2 linked regions of the Struthio camelus genome follow. The protein of the gene in region 1 interacts with the protein of each later gene in a pairwise test. Links are inferred from orthologs where the notes say so. Each region holds a gene or a part of one and is shown in the gene's direction. Other genes may lie near its edges. The genes, in order: ANKRD40 and AHCY.

What was found.
Region 2: the proteins of ANKRD40 (region 1) and AHCY interact in binary tests that used the Homo sapiens proteins (3 or more experiments, as listed by UniProt). The two-hybrid records come from large-scale screens. The link is inferred for Struthio camelus from reciprocal best matches to the Homo sapiens genes ANKRD40 and AHCY.

What each region holds. Positions count from the first base shown.
Region 1 is NC_090960.1:7,424,680-7,434,752, forward strand, and holds the start of ANKRD40 (ankyrin repeat domain-containing protein 40), read left to right. Parts: upstream 1-5,623; 5' UTR 5,624-5,961; coding exon 5,962-6,095; intron 6,096-9,281; coding exon 9,282-9,430; intron 9,431-10,073. Other genes in the region: LUC7L3 (luc7-like protein 3), read right to left, coding at 2,821-2,919.
Region 2 is NC_090959.1:3,732,021-3,741,565, reverse strand, and holds the start of AHCY (adenosylhomocysteinase), read left to right. Parts: upstream 1-5,574; 5' UTR 5,575-5,683; coding exon 5,684-5,711; intron 5,712-5,891; exon of another isoform or gene 5,892-6,057; intron 6,058-7,406; coding exon 7,407-7,597; intron 7,598-9,545. UniProt on the Homo sapiens protein: Catalyzes the hydrolysis of S-adenosyl-L-homocysteine to form adenosine and homocysteine. Binds copper ions.

The sequences.
Region 1 (10,073 bases):
CTAATTAATATTTCCTGCTGCATACAAAAACCCTTTATGCCAAACCTAAAGCTGATCATCCAAGATATATCGCAAGACTGAAACATACAGCGACTGGGATTTCAATTTTTTATGATTATAAGCTTTACTCATGTCAAAATTCTAAGGTAAAAACTTAAGCTATACAACAGGCTTTACAATACATGATGATCATCACACTTTTCATTACAACTGCGAATAAACGCTCAGCTATCATACACGCTGCTTCCACAGCTTCACAAAAGCCTATTTCTGTTGTGCATTTCACACCATCTTCCACAGAAGTTGTGACATCTACCTAAATGTAATTTACAAATGATAAATAGAAATTATAACCTTCCACATCTAAAATTTATGAAATCTTGATAAAATCTTAAATTTTGGAATGAGAATACAACAGGCTCACATTGAAAAAGGCTTTGTGTTGATAACAGGTATAATTTCACAAGTAACAACACTTATGTACATGTTTAACCAGAAAAACAAAACAATAAACAGGCAAACTAATGTTGCTAGCTGAACCTTATCTGCATTTCCTGACTTCTAAAATAAGTCAGCATTACTAACAAAACCCTTATTAAACCGATGCACAAATTTAAGCTGAAAGTAAAATACATTTCTGTGTTTTAACACGGGAAAGGTTTTGTTCTGAACTAGCCCACTGACTATAGGGATTTATGATAACATCCCTTTCAGAAAGGTTGCATTTAATGATGCTCATATAAACTTCATTAAAAAAAAAGAAGCAAACTCGGAACGAACACAGCAACATTTCCTCTTAGGCTGAAGGATCAACTCTAAGCCCCTACTGGCCTCAACAAGGACAGGGACAGCTCTCCCCTTTCTAAATCATCAAGGGAGGACTGAGAAGAAGAAACAAGGCACTGTTTCTGAAACAACAAAACTGAACAGCATCTTAGAGATGGATTTCTATGGTTTTGAGTCACACATTTTAAAAGAGTTTATTTTTCAATTTTAGGCTAAGGATTAAGTCATCTTAACTTGATTAAAGAGAAGGAGGCAAAAAATTCTTTCTCATCTTCAGAAATAAAACGAGAAACCCCTTATCTCCTCTACCTGCACGGACATGCCCGAAGCCATTTACTTCCTATTTCCAGGGTTAACCAACTCCTTTCCTTTTAGAGCTCAGAAAATGTGTAACTGAACACCTATCTGAACAATCACACTTGATTAAGTCAGGAAAAAAAAAAAAAACATTATTTCATTAATAAAACTTCCTGAGCTCAATTTCTCCTGATGCGTATAGCTTACCTCTATAACAGCATTTTTCAAGGAGAATTAAAAATTGCTTGGATTTACAAAAGTCTAGCAAGACAGGTATTTGTCCTTACATGTTGTTTTTGAGACAAATTAAAACTTGGTTTAGCCAGCTCTAAAATAAAGTAACTCTTGTTTGAAAATGGGAAATTCCCAACTTGGTGATTCAGACACAACTTTAAAAAGCCAAAAGCAAACATTTCTCCTGCCTCCCAACTTAACAACATGAAAAAAATGCTAAGGGGGGAGGAACACCACACATTTAAACTAAATGCTTTCTGCAGCTTTAACCACAACAACTTCGACCACACAAAAGATAAGTGAACTGTCTTATCTGAACTGGGACTCTCTCTTTCTTTTAAAATACAGCACAGCACAAAAATACATCACGACAGGGGGAAGGGAGTAGAGGGAAGTGTTTCAGAGTTTTCAAGTCACCCAAAGGGGCAGCTATGGCAACTTTGTTATTACTACTGATTTTTTTGTGAAATAAGTTCTAATACCAACCACAATGGATGTCGCTAGAAGCTAATATCCACTAAGATTTAACCACACGTGGGGAGAAACCTCACTCCAAAATAATATAAGAAAATCCTCTTCTTTTTGAGCAGTTTAAAGCAGAAGATGGATGTTATCACCCCATTGACAAAAAATTCTCAAGTACTACAAAAATAACAGCAATACTGTTTAGGTTTAGCCCTCCCACCCGGAAGTGCAGTAGGTAAGCTTTGGGAAAGTACAGAAGCAATCAAGTTTTTTACTTTGAAAAATCTTCAGCTGCAAAAGTCTTCTGGATCGTCACTGCGCTACAACCTTCACAGTTAAGTTAGCATGAATGTATTCTTCCGTTTCCTCCAATACCACAGTTAGGAAGAGATCCAGAGAAAACTTGTCTTTCAAACCGCTAACACCTGTCTTATCTCCCCTCATGCAAGCCAGCAGGCTCCAAGAAATTCTTGCTTCTACTACAGCTTCCCACAGTTCCCCCCTCCCCCCCCGGGAGATTTCAGCCATCGGCAGGCCTCTCGGAAACCCTTACTACCATTTGTCGACGCGACAGGGAGCGCACGCCAAGGCGAACACAGCCTCTCCCCCTTACGCTGAAACCCAAACACAAGGCCTCTCTCCTCCCATCAGCCCTGATAACAACGCAAGCCCTCTCGCACAGCTAAGCCATGGCGGGATCCTCCTCCCTCCCGGCCACCCAGTTCCTCCTCCTCGTCGGGCAGGCTCAGCGAGCTTCCCGCGCAACGGCGCGGGCCTAGGCCGCCCCGCGGCCGCCATGCAGGAGCCCCGCGGCCTCGGGGCGGGAGCCTCGCACGACGGGCTCCACCGGCGCCTCGGCCCTCTCCTCTCGCTAAACCTCCGCGGATCCTCCCCCGCCGAGACCCCGGCGCCCCCTCGCTCCCCCTCCGCGGGCCCCCACCCGCGGTGCGTGTCGCGCCGACAAGACCCAGGCCCTCGGCCGGAGGGGGGGGGGGGGACCAGGGGAGGGAGGGGGAGAGGCGGCTCCGCTTCACTCACGCTCTCATGGTCCCACCGCACGTTGCTGCGCTTCTCATCCGGGGCCAGGTTTCTATCCCGGCCCATAAGCTCATCTAGGAGCTGGGCGGCCGATATCATGGTGTCTTCCTGGCCGAATACCTCCCCGCCGGGCTCCGCCGCTGCCGCCGCCTCTCCTCCCCGACTCGACCGCGCCGCCGCTGGAGTGACAGAGACAAAATGGCGGCGCCGCTCCTCGCCCTGCCCACAATGCACCGCGCGCCTGCTAACCGCCTCTGGGGCCTGGCGGGGGCCGCCGCCGCCTCGCGATGGCGGCGGGGACGGGCCGCGGCGGCGCTGCCCCGCGGTCGGCGGCTTCGCCGGGGGGGCGTCCCTCGCAGCCGGGACGTGGCCAGGCTGGGAGCCGGGGCCTTTCCTGAGGGCCCCGGGCACGGTATTCCCGCCGGGAGCGCCCCTCCGGCCGGCGGGGAGGGCACGGGGCCTCACAGCTGACCAAAACCTTCCTCGCCCCGGTACCGGTCGGTTATGTCTTGTCCCGTCATGGACGGAGACTAACTGATGAGCGTTCACTTTATTCAGTCATCTTGCAGATTTCAAGACGCGTGTCTCCTTAAATAAACCCAGTTCGTTTTAATTTTTTTCTCATGGGTCTTTGGTTTGGTTTTTTTTTTTTAAAACAACTCTTCTAATTTTTATTACCTGTTTTTGGGGTTCCCTCCCGTTCGTCTATAGCAGTCTGAAAGCGTGGATTTATTCCAGCTTCCCGGCTTGGTTACTGCACAAACGCAGGAAGGGTCTCCTCAGTTTTTTGCATTTTTTAATAGCTTTTTTTTTTAACGGTGCACCGATACGCAGTTTGTAGCCCCGTGTAATTTCTCTGGTATTAACGCCCAACCAGCTTCTGCTCATTTTTGGATGTATTTTTCTTTTTTTGCCTAGGTGTGGCTCTGGGCCTTGTCCTTACTGAATTTTACCTTACTGATTCTAAAGCATTTTCCAAGTCCTCAGAATCATTCTGACTGCCCAAAGTATGCCAAATTATTTAGTACCGCCAGACGAGGACAGTCCCCTTTCGTACCTCAGTTAATGCAATCCCTGCCAACTCCTCTCTTGAATATGCTTTTTTCGAATGCCTGCTAGTCGGTTTTGTAGAAATTTCTTTTGTACTGTCAGTCGTTAACTTGCTAATGAGAATATTAGTGCTGTGGACTATGGCCGAACATCTACCATTGGCACTCCTGCAGCTTTGCTCTTATCCTCTATACCAATTTTCCTGCCAAGTAAGAAAATTATAGTAGCTCAGTCTGCCTACCCTTGACAAATCCATTTTTTTCCCCTATAACTATTATCCTCTACCTGCTTATAGATCATTTAGTCATTCATTCCCAGCATTTTTCCACATGTAAAAATTATGAACCGTGACCATACTGATACTCCTGAAGCGTAGCGAAACGGACCTAACAAGGACTGGGTTTTTAATCAAGTTTTTAATCAGAGATATTCCCCTCTATTCACAGTATAAGAGAAACATCTATGTTTCTCTCCCTTACTTTGTCATTTCCTGTTGGGCTCATTTTAGAACCAATATCATGCTGCTTTATCTTGTAATAAAAAGAGGGTTCTAGTGGCCTGGGAAGGGCTTGGCCACGGGTGAGCGCGCTCACGCTGGGCATCTTGGTGCTTTCAGAGGTTTGGTATAGTTTCGCAGATAATGGACGTTTTCAGGTACCCGAAAAATCTAGTACGTTAACATTTTGTGTTTGTTTGGATTTAAATTTCCTCTGTGCTACTAGTCTATATTTCCATCATTTATACTGGAAGAAGTAAAAAAGACAAGGAATAATTAAGTAGTATGAATGTTAGTTTAAAAATCTTGAACTTGGTTGCTTTTTTTTTTTTTTTAAGAGTTTGAAGTCTGTATTAGCGCTGACCTTGTAAAAAAACACAGAATTCATGGCTGGTCTTGCTCAGACCTCTGCTGCAATCACTGAAGGCTTCACGCAAACTCACGGGTTGTCCATAGAGTTTCTGTTCAGAACTCTGTCCATAAAACTTCCATATCCAGCACTGTAAGGCACTACATTTTTTTTTTTTAATCTTTGCAATTTCATAGTGATTTAATTACCCATTTGAATTGTTGTAAGTAAGAGTGTAGCTGAAATCAGTGCGACCCCACTTACACGTATCTTAAATCTTAAAAATTCTACAGTTTGGGGTTTTGAGGGGGATGGAAGGTGGATGTTTGCTTTAGAAAAGGGGGCCAGAGTTGTTCTGCGTTTCGGCTTTATATTGCTCCCATAGCATCAAAACACCAGCCAGGTACCCTGGCTGCTGAACTGGGATCAGCCTAACCATTGCAAATTTCCCCAGAGTGCGCTCCTAGAGCATACTAGACTAGAAATGGTGTAGTTTCGTTAGATGTCTGGCTGGAGACAGAAATGATTCTTTTGAGTTTTTATAATTGTGAAATTTTTACTAGCTCTTCGCTCTTCCGTAACTTAGCTTAGGACAAATCAACAGTGATCAAAATCAACTTTTTAAAGCAAATACGGTGAATTACAGGAACTGCCTGTAATCTTTGCAAATGCTTTGCAGGTAGCCTTGGAGTTATTAAGGGCTTAATTAATTGCAACGCGAATTCTCAGCGATGATGAGAATTTCCTAGACAGAGCAGTCGTGCGATTCTGGAGCCTGTAAGCACAAGCAACAGAGCAGGAGATGCTGTGCGTTATACAGCTGCCTGTACATTAAATAATAGTTTGGTACTTTAAAATTGCCACGTACCCGTATGTGGCTAATAAATCATCCCGACTGTAAAATCGCAGCAGCCATGACTCGCACGCAAGGCTGTTCGTAGGAACTAAATATCTAGGTCAGAGTTGTCACAGATAATAGAGTCCCCCTGGAAGAGTTTAGGAAAGGGGGATGCTCCGGACACCCTGCAAGCGTGTTTGTTATAATGTCCTTTGGCAGTAGGTCCCTGGGCTTGATTTAAGGCTAGCACACAGAAAGTCACTCTGCATCCAAATTTAAAACCGACAAAGGGCACGAGACACTTTGTGCTTGCGGAGCTGCCCGGTCTGCGAGGTTGGCAGCATGAGAGATCGCCCCGGTTAGAGCGCTCCTCCACCAGACCCGCGTCTGGTCCGAGGCTCCAGCAAGATGACAGCCCTGGTAGAGGAGAAGGAGCTGCAGGAGAGACTGAGAGAGGCGGCGGCGCTGGGGGACGCGGAGGAAGTTCAGCGGCTGGTGGAACTGGGGGTGAACCTGAACTCCCAGAATGACATCAACGGCTGGTAAGGCTGCCGAGCGGGAGCCGGAGCGGGTCGTCTCCAGGACGAGTGGAACCGAGGGCTCCTGAGGCTGTAGAGATGAGTTTGTTTACCCTTTTTGTTTTGTTTTTGACTAGGCATACGCTACTGCGGATTTTTTTCTCTTTCAGCTGAAATACGCGCATCATGACCGGTGTGAATTTGGGATGAAATTAAAAATGTGCTTCTTCAACGCCTTGCCAAATGCTCTTCCCTATAGCTACCTCTCACTACGCCAAAAAGGAAAAAAAATACTGCTGGAGCTGATAATTGCTTTATAAATTTGCACTCTCGTCCCACCCGCTATTTTTGTTCCTTTGGTGTTTGATCCTTCTTCAGGTCGTTGTTACTTTATATTGTTTATTTTTTTGGAAAGGGAATGCTGGCAGCCTAAGACAGCACCGTAACATAGCTATCAAAAAATAAACCTCAGCTTGCCAAGATATATTAATTTATAACCGGACTTAATTCGTGCTAACTTCCAAATCAGGCTCTAAAGTGACTGCACTTTCATCAGCAAACTTGCAGGCTGTTTCGGTGATGTCCCTAAAATACTTTTAGTTCTGACATCTCATTCAAATACCACCTAGTGACACTAAAACGAAGTCCTTTTGGTAATAATACGCGTTTGTGCAGGCGGGACTATATACGTGAATGAACACGCACACGGTACCATTTGAAGCGGGAGCTGCAGGGAACGCTCAGGCGTTTTTGAAGGCTGTTTTCCTCAAGTTGAATTCAGTGTGTATTTACCATGCTGTACTGCGCTTGAGGTTTTAATTAAAAATAGGAAGAACAAAATTAGGAAAGAAGCTGCTATTCTAAAGATTAGAGCGCCAGTAGTAGTCGTCAGCAGCATGGAACGCTTGCAACTTGCGGTTCAAATTGTGATTAAAATCAGAGCTTGTAATAACTTCTGCAAAGTGATTCCTAAGAGCATAAATTATATTCATGTGCAAGAGAAGTAGTTGCTGGCCATCCAAATGAGTTTCTATCTAAAACTGGCATTGATGGAAGAAACAATAAATTAAAAAAAAAAAAAAGAATTATTTTCAGAAATAACGATCTGGTCATTTTTGACTATGACAGTAAATGGATCTTCACTGTTATTTAGGTTTGCTTGTAGAATTTAAATCGCTGGAATGACCTTTTCCATGAGTCTGATGCTCGGGGGTGCTGGATACGTGCGTTTTGGTGTGTGTTGGATCTGGGGGGGTAGCTGGTACCTCTCCGCATGAGACCTTGCTAAAGCCACGTGCGATGGTCAGAACGAATTCCAAAATGAGGCAGCGCCGCTGAGGCTCGCGTATCTTCTGAGCAAACTAAACCCTCGAGTTTTACACGCGTGCAGGGTCCCGCTGAAGTCTCTGGCGTTCAGTATAGAGGAAATAGTGTGTAATTCTCAATGGAGCATCCTCGTTTAAGCAGGGAAAGCAAACATCCCCGCGCTGCCTGCGTGTTCTCTCGCTGCTTTGGTCTAAACTAGCTACGACTTGGCAGTGCGCTGCTTCTGAATCCATGCAAACTATTCACACGCGAAACAAGGAGAGATTTGTGAAAAGTCCAAAAAGCATGACACAGCAAAACTAAACAAACTCGGTCCGAGTTTCAGGAAGCTTGTCTCAGATACTGAGGGATCTTTGGTGTCAAAAATTCAGGACTACGTTCTGCTGACAAAATTATGTTATGCCATTTTAAAAATGGCACTTTTTGGCTGAAATGCACAGCCCAATCGTGGAGCGAAAATACAGGATTTTACAGTATTATTAGCTGTATCCCCCCTTTAAAACATAAAATTTATAACCCATGTCCTATGATAGGCTATAAAGAAAAAATATATATGCATACATACACTTACCATGTTTCTTCAGTCAGATCTAATTCTAGGCAATGTTGCTTGCTGCAGTGACTAGTCCCATTACCTTTAATTCAGAGAGACTTTCTGCCATCGAGACGCATTAATTCTAGTAATAAGAAATGTAGAATGATGCCTTTTGCTTCTGCTAAGATGGGTTTAATTAAGTTGGAACATATACCAATGAACAGGGCTTTACAAATTACTTTGTCTTCTCTTGGTTTAACCTAATTTGTACCCCTACAGATCAGATTCTTTCTTTTCTCCTTTACGCCCATACAAAGTTGGGAGTTACTGATCAAGAGACAGCTTTGTTGTGTGACGACTGCGTCTCTTCCTTACCCCCCCAAAAAAAAAGCTTTTGAAGCTGGACTTTCAATTGAAACTTTTTTATCCTTATAAGTTTGTTTTCTAATCTCTGTTTTATTTTATTTAGTCCTTTAAAAAACTGAAGAAAGATAAAAGAGTTTTAATTTATCCAAAGACTTTTCCTTGGCTGGAGCTAGAGTATTAAAGTAAGAGCTAGAGAAAGCTCAAACACCGCTAGACCCCCAGATAGGGAGGAACGGTAAGGCTGTACAACAAGTTTTAATATAGAAGACTATTAAGTCCTTAATACTAATACTAAGCACTAAATAAGCTAAGTAGCGTTGAGGATGTTTCTTTACTATGTCTTTCCAGGTCAGTGACTGCCAATAATAATTAAAAAAACCAGAAAAGCGATCAGTTCAGTGCATCAGTTACAGGTTGCCAACCACAAGCTCACTGCAGAGCGCTAGTTGTCTGCAGCATAAAGCTTGGAGTCTGCTGGTGCGGTGAATAGCAACTAGGCAAAGAACTAGAATATTTTCCAAGTAATTTACTTTCAGAAAGGTGCACATCGCCGTACTGACTGCATTGATTAAAGTGGAAAAAAAAAAGCACCCTCGAGAAGCTGCATGTTAGCTCACATACACACAAAAGTATTTGAAGAATAACTTATTCTTTCAAAGATTAAACAAATAAATAAGCCTTCTTTTTATATTTATTTTCAATAAAAGTTAATAGCCTCATACATGAAAACCTAAAAAGATCTTGAAAACTATTGCTATAGTAACTTGATATCAAGAGCATTATCGCGAGGGAAAAAAACCAGATCAGCAGGTGTCACTGCAGGCTCCAGAAACGGTGTGAATCTGCAAGGACCGTAGCTATTAAAAGCTTTTTTTATGCTAGACATGCATTGGGTCTTGTGCTTCCTATATGCAGCAGGAATGCATGAAACGTATGTGCTGTAATCGAGTATTTCAAAGAGCGTTGCCGTTTTCCGTGTGCAGGACTTGTTTGCACTGGGCGTGTAAAAGGAACCACGCGCAAGTGGTGTCCTACCTGCTGCGATCCGGGGCCGACAAGGAGATTCGCACAAGGAAAGGAGAACGGCCCGTCCAGTTGACTTCCAGGAGGGAGATTCGGAAGATGCTGGGAGGTAAAGCTACTGGTTATATCATATACCATCTCTGAAGACGACAGTAAAAGGCTGTTGAGAGCAATTACGCTCCTGGGTTATTTTACGTGTGACGATACTGTGAAAGTTTTTGTGAGTGAGCGTTTACTTAGCGAGAAATCACAATTTAGAGAAAGAGGGCTACCAAAAAACTCCATACGCAGGTAACCCAGCTTTTTTCTAAACACGGGGGAAAAAAAAAACCTGAAAAAATTGTATTTTGAAAAACCGTATTAGTAAATCGATTGCAGGTAGATGCAGCTTGATGTTTTCAGAAGAAGCAAATAGAGGAAAAATCTCTCAAAGTTGTCTGAAGCTCTTGCAGTAGATGACCAATACCTAACGTTCCTGGTGTTTTATGGAGTTTAGATGCTGTGTTGAGTAAATGGAAAATTAGCATCCTAGAGAAGCAGCTCAATAAAGTACCTTGCTAGAGCATTTTTATCATGTGTTGTAACCGTTGGAGCGGAGTAGGCGTTGCTGCTGGAGGTGAGTAGTTTGAAATATGGTCAGTTAACAGCCTCTTTCCTTCCTTATTCCCTTGCCTGTCTTCGTGGCCATTATTGTCTCCCTGCTGTTGAATTGGTGATGTTTCAGTTCTCCTTGTACTGTGTTTTTTTCCCTT
Region 2 (9,545 bases), on another chromosome or scaffold:
CATGATTTCCCAAACTGGATTAAGAGAGAATTTACTTGGTTAAACTTGTTCTACAAGGCTCAGGGCTTGGTCCTCAGTTCATGTTACGCTCATGCTTGCTACAACGGTGAGAGAGAGGTGAAGATGACGTTTCACTGACTTACCACCAACCCAGAGCCTCAGGGCTGTCAGGGACTGAACCAACTTCTTGTGTAACTTAGGCTGGCCACAGGGTTTCTCTAAGAAACAAAAATCGGTTGTTTTCCTCTTGCTGGCAGCATAGGGAAAATAAGAAGCAAGAGGAAAAATTAGTCCAAACTTCCCCTCACACTAGTTCATTTATTCTCGTCTAGCTCTTGTTTCAGTTCTTGCTTGCACTGAGTGTACAGACTACATGTTCTCAAGTAAATAATTTCTAGCGTTCTTGCGACAAAAACATAGCCTACTTTAAATCCTTGGACCACCCATACTCCTCCCAGAAGGCACCAGCTTGGTCATACTAAACTCTTACCTAAAACGTTGACAGTCCTCACTCATAAGGAAGATACATCGAAGGCTCTCTCTGCTCTCTGTTGGGGAGTTAATGACGGAAAGTGGATGGCACTGTATACACAAAATCAGAACTTAGTAAAGTGCAGAAGTCTTTATCAGGGACCTATGAGGAGAAAATCAGCTGTATTGAATCTGGAATGTGTTGAACTTAACATCAGTGGGACAAATCGTATTATCATAATAATGTTAGTGCTAGTTGCAGTGATATACACGCTTCTGTGGATTGAGATAGTGTAACTCAAAGTTGAACTAGAAACCCGCTGTTATCTATATGGCTGCACAGGATGATAGCGAATGTGAAACCACATGAAGGACTTTATGCAAACACATACGGCAACATGTCTCAGATTTTATGCTTGAGGCAGGTGGGGAGAGCTTACTCGCAGCCTGAGCTGTAATACACGTTTGTGAGTATTATAAGTGTATGCATATGCTATCTATGCCTTATGTTAAAAGCTAATTTAAGCATGAACAACAACGGCTCTAGACCACATGGGACCCCTACTAAGCTAAATTAGCAGTATGAGTTAGCCAGCATGCATCTAAGAAGGCTGCTACAACCTTCAGCTGCTGGCTGGGGCCTTCACAAACCTGCTGTTGGCTCTGGCTAAGAGAACATAAAGCCTACAGAGCAAAGCACTTAGTAGATGCCCGTCACCGTCAGGGCCTTCATTAGGCACCTTGTGACATTTACCGCAATACAGTCTACCTGGATCATCAGACAGTGTCTCTGCCTTATTGCACAGAATGGCTCATGCTTGGGGAAATGGTAGTTACCCAGCACCTACTTTATATGCATCACTCAGTACGATGGTTCTTCTTTACTGCTTTTCATCAAACCCTTATGCAGGATAAAACAACATTCGTTTCCTTAGGGGTGCTCCTGGATGCTACCACCACAACATCTTAGTGCTTCATAGACAGAAATGAACTTATTTTTGCAGTACGTGTGTGTGAGTTTGTGGGTGAGCAGAATGATTTTCTCATTTTATAGGTAAGGGAAAGCTGAGGTACAGAATATAACATCAAATGTTCTCACTGCTTGTGGGTACCACTTTGAGACATATAGGGTTTGATTTGTGAGAGTATTTAGCATTGTGCAGCATTTTCTAAGCTCAGTGATGTACTCTGGACTTCAGCCCGCTTTGCCTGGCAGAACGTTGACTAAGGAACAGGAAAGAGCATAGCCTGCTCCTCGTAGGCTCCGGGATGCCTGTAGCTTGGGTGCATTGTGTCCAGCAACCTGATCTTAAGGACAGCCTGACCTTGGGCATCCCACATACCACCTCTGCCACAAGGTCCACAAGGTCTGCAGTGGTGAGAGATTGTGTGACTTGTTATCGGCCACCTGACGTCATGGGGAGGGGTGACAGGCTACATGGTAGCTGGTGTGGGTTAGATGCTGTGGGCTGATCTGCAGATACCACTAAGTGTGAGCCACGCTTTCTCCCCTTGCTGCCTCTCAAGCTTATGTAAAACCTGTGAAAGCCGGAGTCAGGTCATGGCTTGAGCCTATGTGCCAAATAAAATGTGGTGTGAGGTTTTTTTAAGGCAGGTGTCTGGAAAATGAGGAATAGTCAATTAACGATTGCTCATGCAAAGCCTGTCCTAAGAGACTGAGCCAGTGCCACAAAGGGGTGGCTGGGCTGAGATTGGGGTAGAATGCAGTTCTCCATACTCCCCCAGCACTCCTTAATCATATATGATACACATCTTCTATCTGCTGTGACAAATTGAAGTCCTACAGACAACAGCCTCATTTACTGTATGCTTCTAATTCATACTCAACACTGGCCATCCCAGTGCACTACCAGATGAGAATCTTGTTGAACAAATAATGGCATTCTCTTTATAAAAGAAGCTCTCGGATTGCATAATATGCTTATTATAATGTATATAACGTATAATTTGCCCTAGTCAAGCAATTAACTGTCTGAGTATAGCGTACCTGCATGAAATACCACCTGTATTATACAGAAGTTTAGACTGATGTTTTCTCCTGCTCTTGAAATCGACAGTATTTCCTAACCAAGCCTTTTGAGCCGAATCTTTTCTTAAAATTCTGCAAAATGTCATAACGTCATTATGAAGGAAAAGGTTTTTTTCCCTGAGTTTCACAGCTTTCCAGTGACCCTAGGATATTTAAATTTACAGCCCAGAACTTCCCTATTTGAATTACTACAGTAAATGAAACAGTAGCAGGATGTATAACATGAAAAACATCCTGCTATTGTTTCGTGTACCCTGCTACAGATTGCTTTTTGGACTCTTCTGTTCTTTCCCCTGTTCCCTCTGCTTCACTCCATCCTACTCCCTGCCATTTCGTACCTATCTTGTGCCATCTGGTGTCCCAAATCCACCAGTGACAGTAACAATGAGGGGATCCAGGGTGTACATGAATAGTTGAGGCACTGACTTTCTAAATTAAGATATAGCATAAAGCAATGATATCAGGTCTTTATCTTTTCTCTCTTTTATCTCTACCTTTATCTCTTAAATCAAAGGCTCAGGGCAAACACGGCAGCTAACTTCACTTGTCTTCAAGTACTCTTTATGCAGAGTTATAAACAACTGGAAATATTTTGTCAAGTGATGGAGCATCTTCATTCTAGGTGGGGCTGATCTGTCCTCATTTAATAAATGCATATCAATTCTGACTACCCACTCTTTGGCTTATCTGCAATCAGGTGGCTGGTTCCTTTCAGCCTTCACAGGAAAGTATGTCTTGAGCTGAAATTAGTAGGAGTTACATGAAATGATGTCTTTGTCCTGGCCTTGCTGATTAATTTAAGAAGGATATTTTATGTGTCGGCGTTGCTGTGGGAAAGTACATAAAGACATTTGCTATAACCGACCAACCGACAATCAGGTTTGCTGGGGAGGCTGTGGGCTGGCATCTTATACAAGGCATGCGTGGAGTGTTTTGCTGCCTTTAGGGCACACGGTACAAAATAGGTCTGTTGGGAAGTCCCTCATTTACATGCCTGCAGAGGCTGGCAGGCAGAGACATGCAGAAGCTGCATCCTGCTAGTAGATACAGCCTTGGTGTAGGTATCTGGGCAGTGCGTGGGGAACTACCAGAACCTAAACTGCTGTCCCACTGATGCGAGCCAGTGTACTGGAGCTGTGACAAAGGGTTGTTAGTAACATACACAAACAAATGAGCTCCCTACTGCTGTCTTCTCTGGAAAGAGCGAGGCATGACAGAATTAGGTGAACCTGTCCCAGAGGAACTGGCCTGTTAGTCCCCTGGGGGACCTTCTGACTTACATAACTGCTTAGCATGGCATCGGATGTGATCGTATGCCCTGCTAGCGCTCAGAACATCAAACATGAATATTAGCACTTGCACATATACCGGCTATATAACTACAGGTTTCCCGCTGGGACTTCTGCATCTCCATTTGAACTGCTCTCTGTGGGACCAGTCACAGAAGATAAATTGTTACTCAGGTAACAAATACTGAACCTCAGAAATAGGGAGCAGAGACAAACTCTGCGCTGATCCACTCAGAGGATTATTTCAAACTTTGCAAAATAATTAAGTGAGAATTACTGAGAAAGCATGAGGAAATCCTCATCTGCTTGTAAATATTACACAGAAAAAGAAGAGGTGAACCTATTATGTAACATACCGGCTGCAAAATTCGCCCCAGTTTATGACTGAGACTTGTCAGAAACGTGCTTCACGTGTTAGAGCAGGAGTAAGAGCAAAGCCAACGTATGTGTGACCCTTAGACGAGGCTGAGAAAGGACCTTGCCTCCTGCCAGCGCAGCGTGCATGGGTTACTGCCGTGGGCAGAGCTGTGCCGTGGCGGCCAACAGGCCTGCCTGATCTCTTATCTTCCTGCGCCTGGCGAACTGGCTCGTTCGCTGGACGCTGGAAACAAGGACGTGCTTCAGCCAAGTCCAAGGTTCAGGCAGAAGAGTGACTCAGTGCCTGCAGCGGCGTGCCTCGGCACCAGCAGCGTACCGTTTCACTACTGCAGCATCGCGGGCAGAGGCCTGCGGAAGAGGCTGCCCCGCGAGAAGCCTGTCGCAGCAGAGCAGGCCGGGCTGTGCTGCCTGGCCAGAGCCCGCAGCGGCTCCACGACCCTGCTCTGGTGCCCGGGGGCCTTCTCTGCTACTGGGAGGCTCCGAGGCCTGCCCAGGTGCTGCCAGAGGGCCTGCGCCGGCGGGGGGACTCTGAGGGTTGCCCTGGCACTGCTGTGGGGTCTGCTCTGCTGCTGGGGGGGCCCCAAGGCCTGCCTTGGGCATGGCCTGGCACCAGGGGCCCCAAGGCTTGCCCTGGCACTGCCCTGGGCTCTGCTCTGGTTCTGGGGGGTCCAAGGCCTGCCCTGCGGCCTGCTCTGGTACCGGGGGGCTCAGCGGCCTGCCCTGACGCCTGCTCTGGTACCAGGGGGCTCCAGCACCTGCCCTGGCGCTGGGGGGATCCAAGGCCTGTCCTGGGCTCTGCTTTGCTACGGGGGGGCTCCAAGGCCTGTGCTGGCACTGCCCTGCGGCCAGTTCCGGTACTGGTGAGCTCTGGCACGGCCCTGGCCCTGCTGTGCTACCAGGGGGCATCACGGCCTGCCCTGGAGCCTGCTCTGGCTCTGGGGCCCTCCAAGACCGGCTCTGGCACAGCCGGGGAGGGCCCTGGGCCCGTCCCGGGCGCCGCAGCCTGCCCGTGGGTCTGGGGCGCGCTCTGGCTCCAGGGAGAGAGGGAGCGTCCGCGGCTGCAGTGGGACCGGGGGGGGCGGGAGGCCTCTGGGCATCGTCCTGGCCGCGAGGGGAGGGGCGGTGGGGGCAGCCAGGCCGCCCTGGTGCAGGCTGGGCCGCCGCCGCCGCCGCCGCCGCCGCCGCCGCCGCCGCCGCCGCCGCCGCCGCCGCCGCCGCCGCCGCCGCCGCCGCCGCCGCCGCCGCCGCCGCCGCCGCCGCGCACCCGGGCCGACCCGCCCCGGCTGCGCCTCGCAGTGCTCTGGAGGCGGCGCGGCGCGGCTCGGCCCCCGCCGCCGGGCCCCGAGCGCGCACGTGGCGGCGCGGCGCGTCCGCGGCCCCGGCCCCGGCCCCGGCCCGCCCCACGACGGCGGCGGCGCCGCCCCTACTTAAAGCGCGCTCGGCGCCGCTGCCGCCTCCTGTTCTGCGCCCGCCGCGGCCCGCGCTGCCCGCCGGCATGTCGGACAAGCTGCCCTACAAAGTGGGTGAGTGCGGGTCCGGCGGCCGCCGCGGTGCCGCGCCGGGGAAGGCGCGCCGCCCCGGGCCCGGCCTGCCGCGGCCCTGGGAGCCACGGGCCGCGGCGGCGGCGGGAAGATGGCAGCTGCCGCGCGGGGAGCGGCGGCAGGCGGAGCGCGGTCCCCAGCACGAAAGCCTTAAAAACAAACCTCCAAGGCGCGGGAAGGGGCTGGCCGAGCCTTCGTGTTACCTCAGCCCCGGCGGAGAAGGAGTCGGGGAGCACCGGGGCGGGGCGGGCTCTGGGGAGCGGCTGCCGCCCTGTGCGGAGCGGCCGGAGGCGGCGGCGCGGGCTGCCGCCGAGCCCAGCAGGAGCCCTCCCCTGGGGGCGCAGGCCCCCTGCAAGCGCGACAGTGCCCTTAAATCGGGGAGCTGCCTTACGTGCCTCCCTGCGGATTGCGGTGTTTCTCTGAATAGAGACCTTCCCCAAAAAACTGTTCTCCCCCTCCCCCCCCGAGTTGTGGCTTCTGTGAAGGCTGAATGCAACGGCAGGAACTTTGGGCCGTAAGGTTCAAATACACCGAGAATTCGCCTTTGAGGAAAGAGCGTGGGCGGTGAACCCAAAACGGTCTAGAGCTTTTTTTTTTGGGAGCCCTAGTAAAACTGCTGAGACCTGAAAAGGGATTGGGATTTAGCGAACCCCTCTCTTGTCATTATGATTCCTACAGCCCTTCCATTTCCTGTGCTTTTTTTTGTGTCCTGCATTGGTGCGAAGGTCACGCACCAGTCAGCTAAAAAGTAGCCAATGGCTCTGGTGGCCCCCAGGCTTCCTTCTGGAACCAAACACAGTTATCTTGCCTGTGTTAAACCAGGCAGTCCGACTCAGGCGGCCTAGTTTTCCTTAACGCTTTGAATGGACGGTGTCCGCTAGGTAGCTGAAAGCAAATTGTCTGACCGTGTTCTTAATCAAACCGGGAAGGCCCCAAAAAGCTTCTCCGAATGAGGTGACGAAGGACCGGTGACACTCGGCGTTGGCTGGCGCCGCAGAATGGCGCAGCCAGGCATCAGCCGCTCAGCCTGTTGCCTTTGTAGGTAAGGCTGGGCGTGCAGATCCGCTGTGAGAGCTGGGTTTTCTGCCCCTAGCTAGACTCTTGGAAATCTCTTTTACTCAGTTTCTGGTGAACTTTCCCGCTGCAGACCTTTTTTCACAAGGTTAGGGATAGAGTTTTCCAGGTGCCTGGAAAATTATCCCTGTGGAGCAAAGGGTCCAGGAGCACTGGAGCTTACTGCTTGACGGGGAAGGAGGAGGGGGAGCTGGACTGGGCTCAGCACCTGGAGCCCTTGGTGGGGAAGCCGTTGCCGAACAGGTAGCCTCTGCCCCTGCAAGTCATAGTACTGTGGAAGCAAACTTCAATAAGAAGCGTCAGATGTTTGGGCAGCGTTTGTAAGGAGGGGTGGTTAAGGCTAGGGGCCTACTGAATTACCGAGCCTCAGGGCCTCTGAACATCCAGTCATGTTGTGGTTTACGCTAGCTTGAAAGCCTGTGTACCAAAGTACAAAGGCAGTACTCGGGGAGAAACAGGGATGGGGTCTGTTTTTCCTTCAACTGTCTCCCAGCTGTTGGGTGTCCAGTTCAGCTGTTGCAGCCAGTGCTATGTGCAAGTGTGTGAGTAGATACCAAGGCCTCAGCTATTTGAACTCCAACACCTGCCCTCCTTTGCTTGCAGCTGACATCGGCCTTGCAGACTGGGGTCGCAAGGCCATTGAGATTGCAGAGAATGAGATGCCAGGGCTGATGAAGATGCGGGAGATGTATGCTGCATCGAAGCCACTGAAAGGTGCACGTATCGCAGGATGCCTTCATATGACTGTGCAGACGGCAGTTCTCATAGAGACCCTTATAGAGCTGGGAGCTGAGGTAAAGTATCTGTAGTTTTTCCTTCGGTGTGCTCTTAGGTAATGCTCTGCCTAGGGCACTGCTTCTGTTTATGTAACTACCCTAGGGGATCCTGGCAGGTTTCTGTGCTTATGAGAAGAGACCACGCTGCGGTCTCCAGGTGGACGTCTTCAGCAAAAGGCTTGTCGCCTGGAATGCACGTGCCTTTGGGGTGCAGACAAGCTGCATCTTCCTGACGCCCCTTCCAAGGTGGGGTTGGTGGCTTCAGCACCCTCCTCTGGCCTGTAAGCAGCTGTCTATACAGCACCCTGAGGAGCTGTGCCAAAACCTGCTCCCGCACAGTTGTGCTGTGTTCAGGCACGCGCTGCTGTGGCTGGTATGCTGGTAATGCTGAATGTGTAGGGACTGCCTGCAGCGCAGATTAACCTGGATTAAGAACCATACCATGGCCTGGTAAAGTCAGCAAAAACTAATGGAGCCATCTGAGCTCCTGCTGGCCCTTGAGCTATGCAGGAAAACAACAGGGAGACAGTGTGGCTCAGTGATCAGGAGCTCGGGACTCCACTGACTCCAAATTCACTGTGCGACTTTGGACCAGTTACCTCGGTCTGTATTCAAGGCTGAGACGCTTATAAGCCATCTACTGCATCATGCCCTCTGCCTGGCTTGCAGAATGAAGTCCCAATGTAATACAGGGCATGAGGGGAAAGCTAGGCTTCTTAGCACAGTCCAAATAGCTTGCCTGCTGAGCAGGGAGCAGACTGGAGCTTGATGATGGATTATGCTAAGCAGAGTGTTTCATCTGAAATCCTTTCTTCCTGAAGTTTAGCTGCCTGGACCTAGGCTGCCCAGAGGTGTATCTGCCTGTGTGCAATCTAGAGCCTGGATCCCTCCCTCCTGAGAGCGCGTGCCGACGTGGTTAAGCCTTGAGCAGTGTCACACTGATCAAAAGGCCTTGGAAGAAGGGGAAGCCCTTTTCTGTAACAGCCTAAAGGTTAAAGCGTTTCCTCAAAAAGTGTGGGATTGGTCTGGATACTTGTAGGCTACGTGCTGTTCTGCATGGAGGTGTTCTTCAGCCTGTTACTGTTCTGCTGTAGTAAATAGTGCAGTACTAAAGGAGGCTAGAAGAAGAAGAAGGAGCTTTGACCTGGAGGTCTTGATCCTAACTGCTCGGTATAGGAAACTTATTCCCTCACAGAATTTAAGTGAGGAGTAGCCACTGAATTTGCTCCTTGCTGCTCTTGTTAGTTGCTGTCTCCCAGCGTGGCTGGCCTAGGCAGCAGCTGGGTGCTTAAACATTGCCAGCTGCTTTAACCTGAGAGCAATGCCACACCAATGTCACCTGGGGTTCATCCAAGTTATTAGGGGAGGTACCTGCAGTGTTTTGGTTCCTCTAAGGATAAGTTAGGGTTGCTTGTCCAAGATGTGTGCTGCCATGTTAGCTTGGGACTTGATTGAGCTCCCATCTTGTCCTGATGCCTACAGGATGGTTTAGACTTCCATTTGGATTGAGCCCTGGTTCATCTGTTGTGCCAGAACTTCAGTGCCTGGGAGGGAGGAGATAAGAAAGAGGATGTAGCTCACTGTGCAGCACAGTGAACTTGTCATCCCTTTTTTGGCTGGCATAACAAGGATGGTATAAACACTCTGTGCCTCGGGTTCACGTGAGTTCTAAAAGGGTAGTAGAAATGTATCCTTTTCATAACCAGGGAGCTATAAGGGTACAAATGTTAGTATCTGAGCCTATCAGGTATGACAGTTGTTCTTGGGTCTGTGTCTTTTTCACAAGCTGGTGTTACAAATCTAAGGATGCAGAATTGAAAAGTAGCTTGTATCTTGCTTCAAGTGTAAACAATATATAAGTTTTCAGTATACCTGGAATTTCATGACACCTGATGGCATCTGTATTGACGTGGGAGCTCAGAAAAATGCAAGTGAGGAGGTAGAGGGCTCAACTTTATGAATTCAC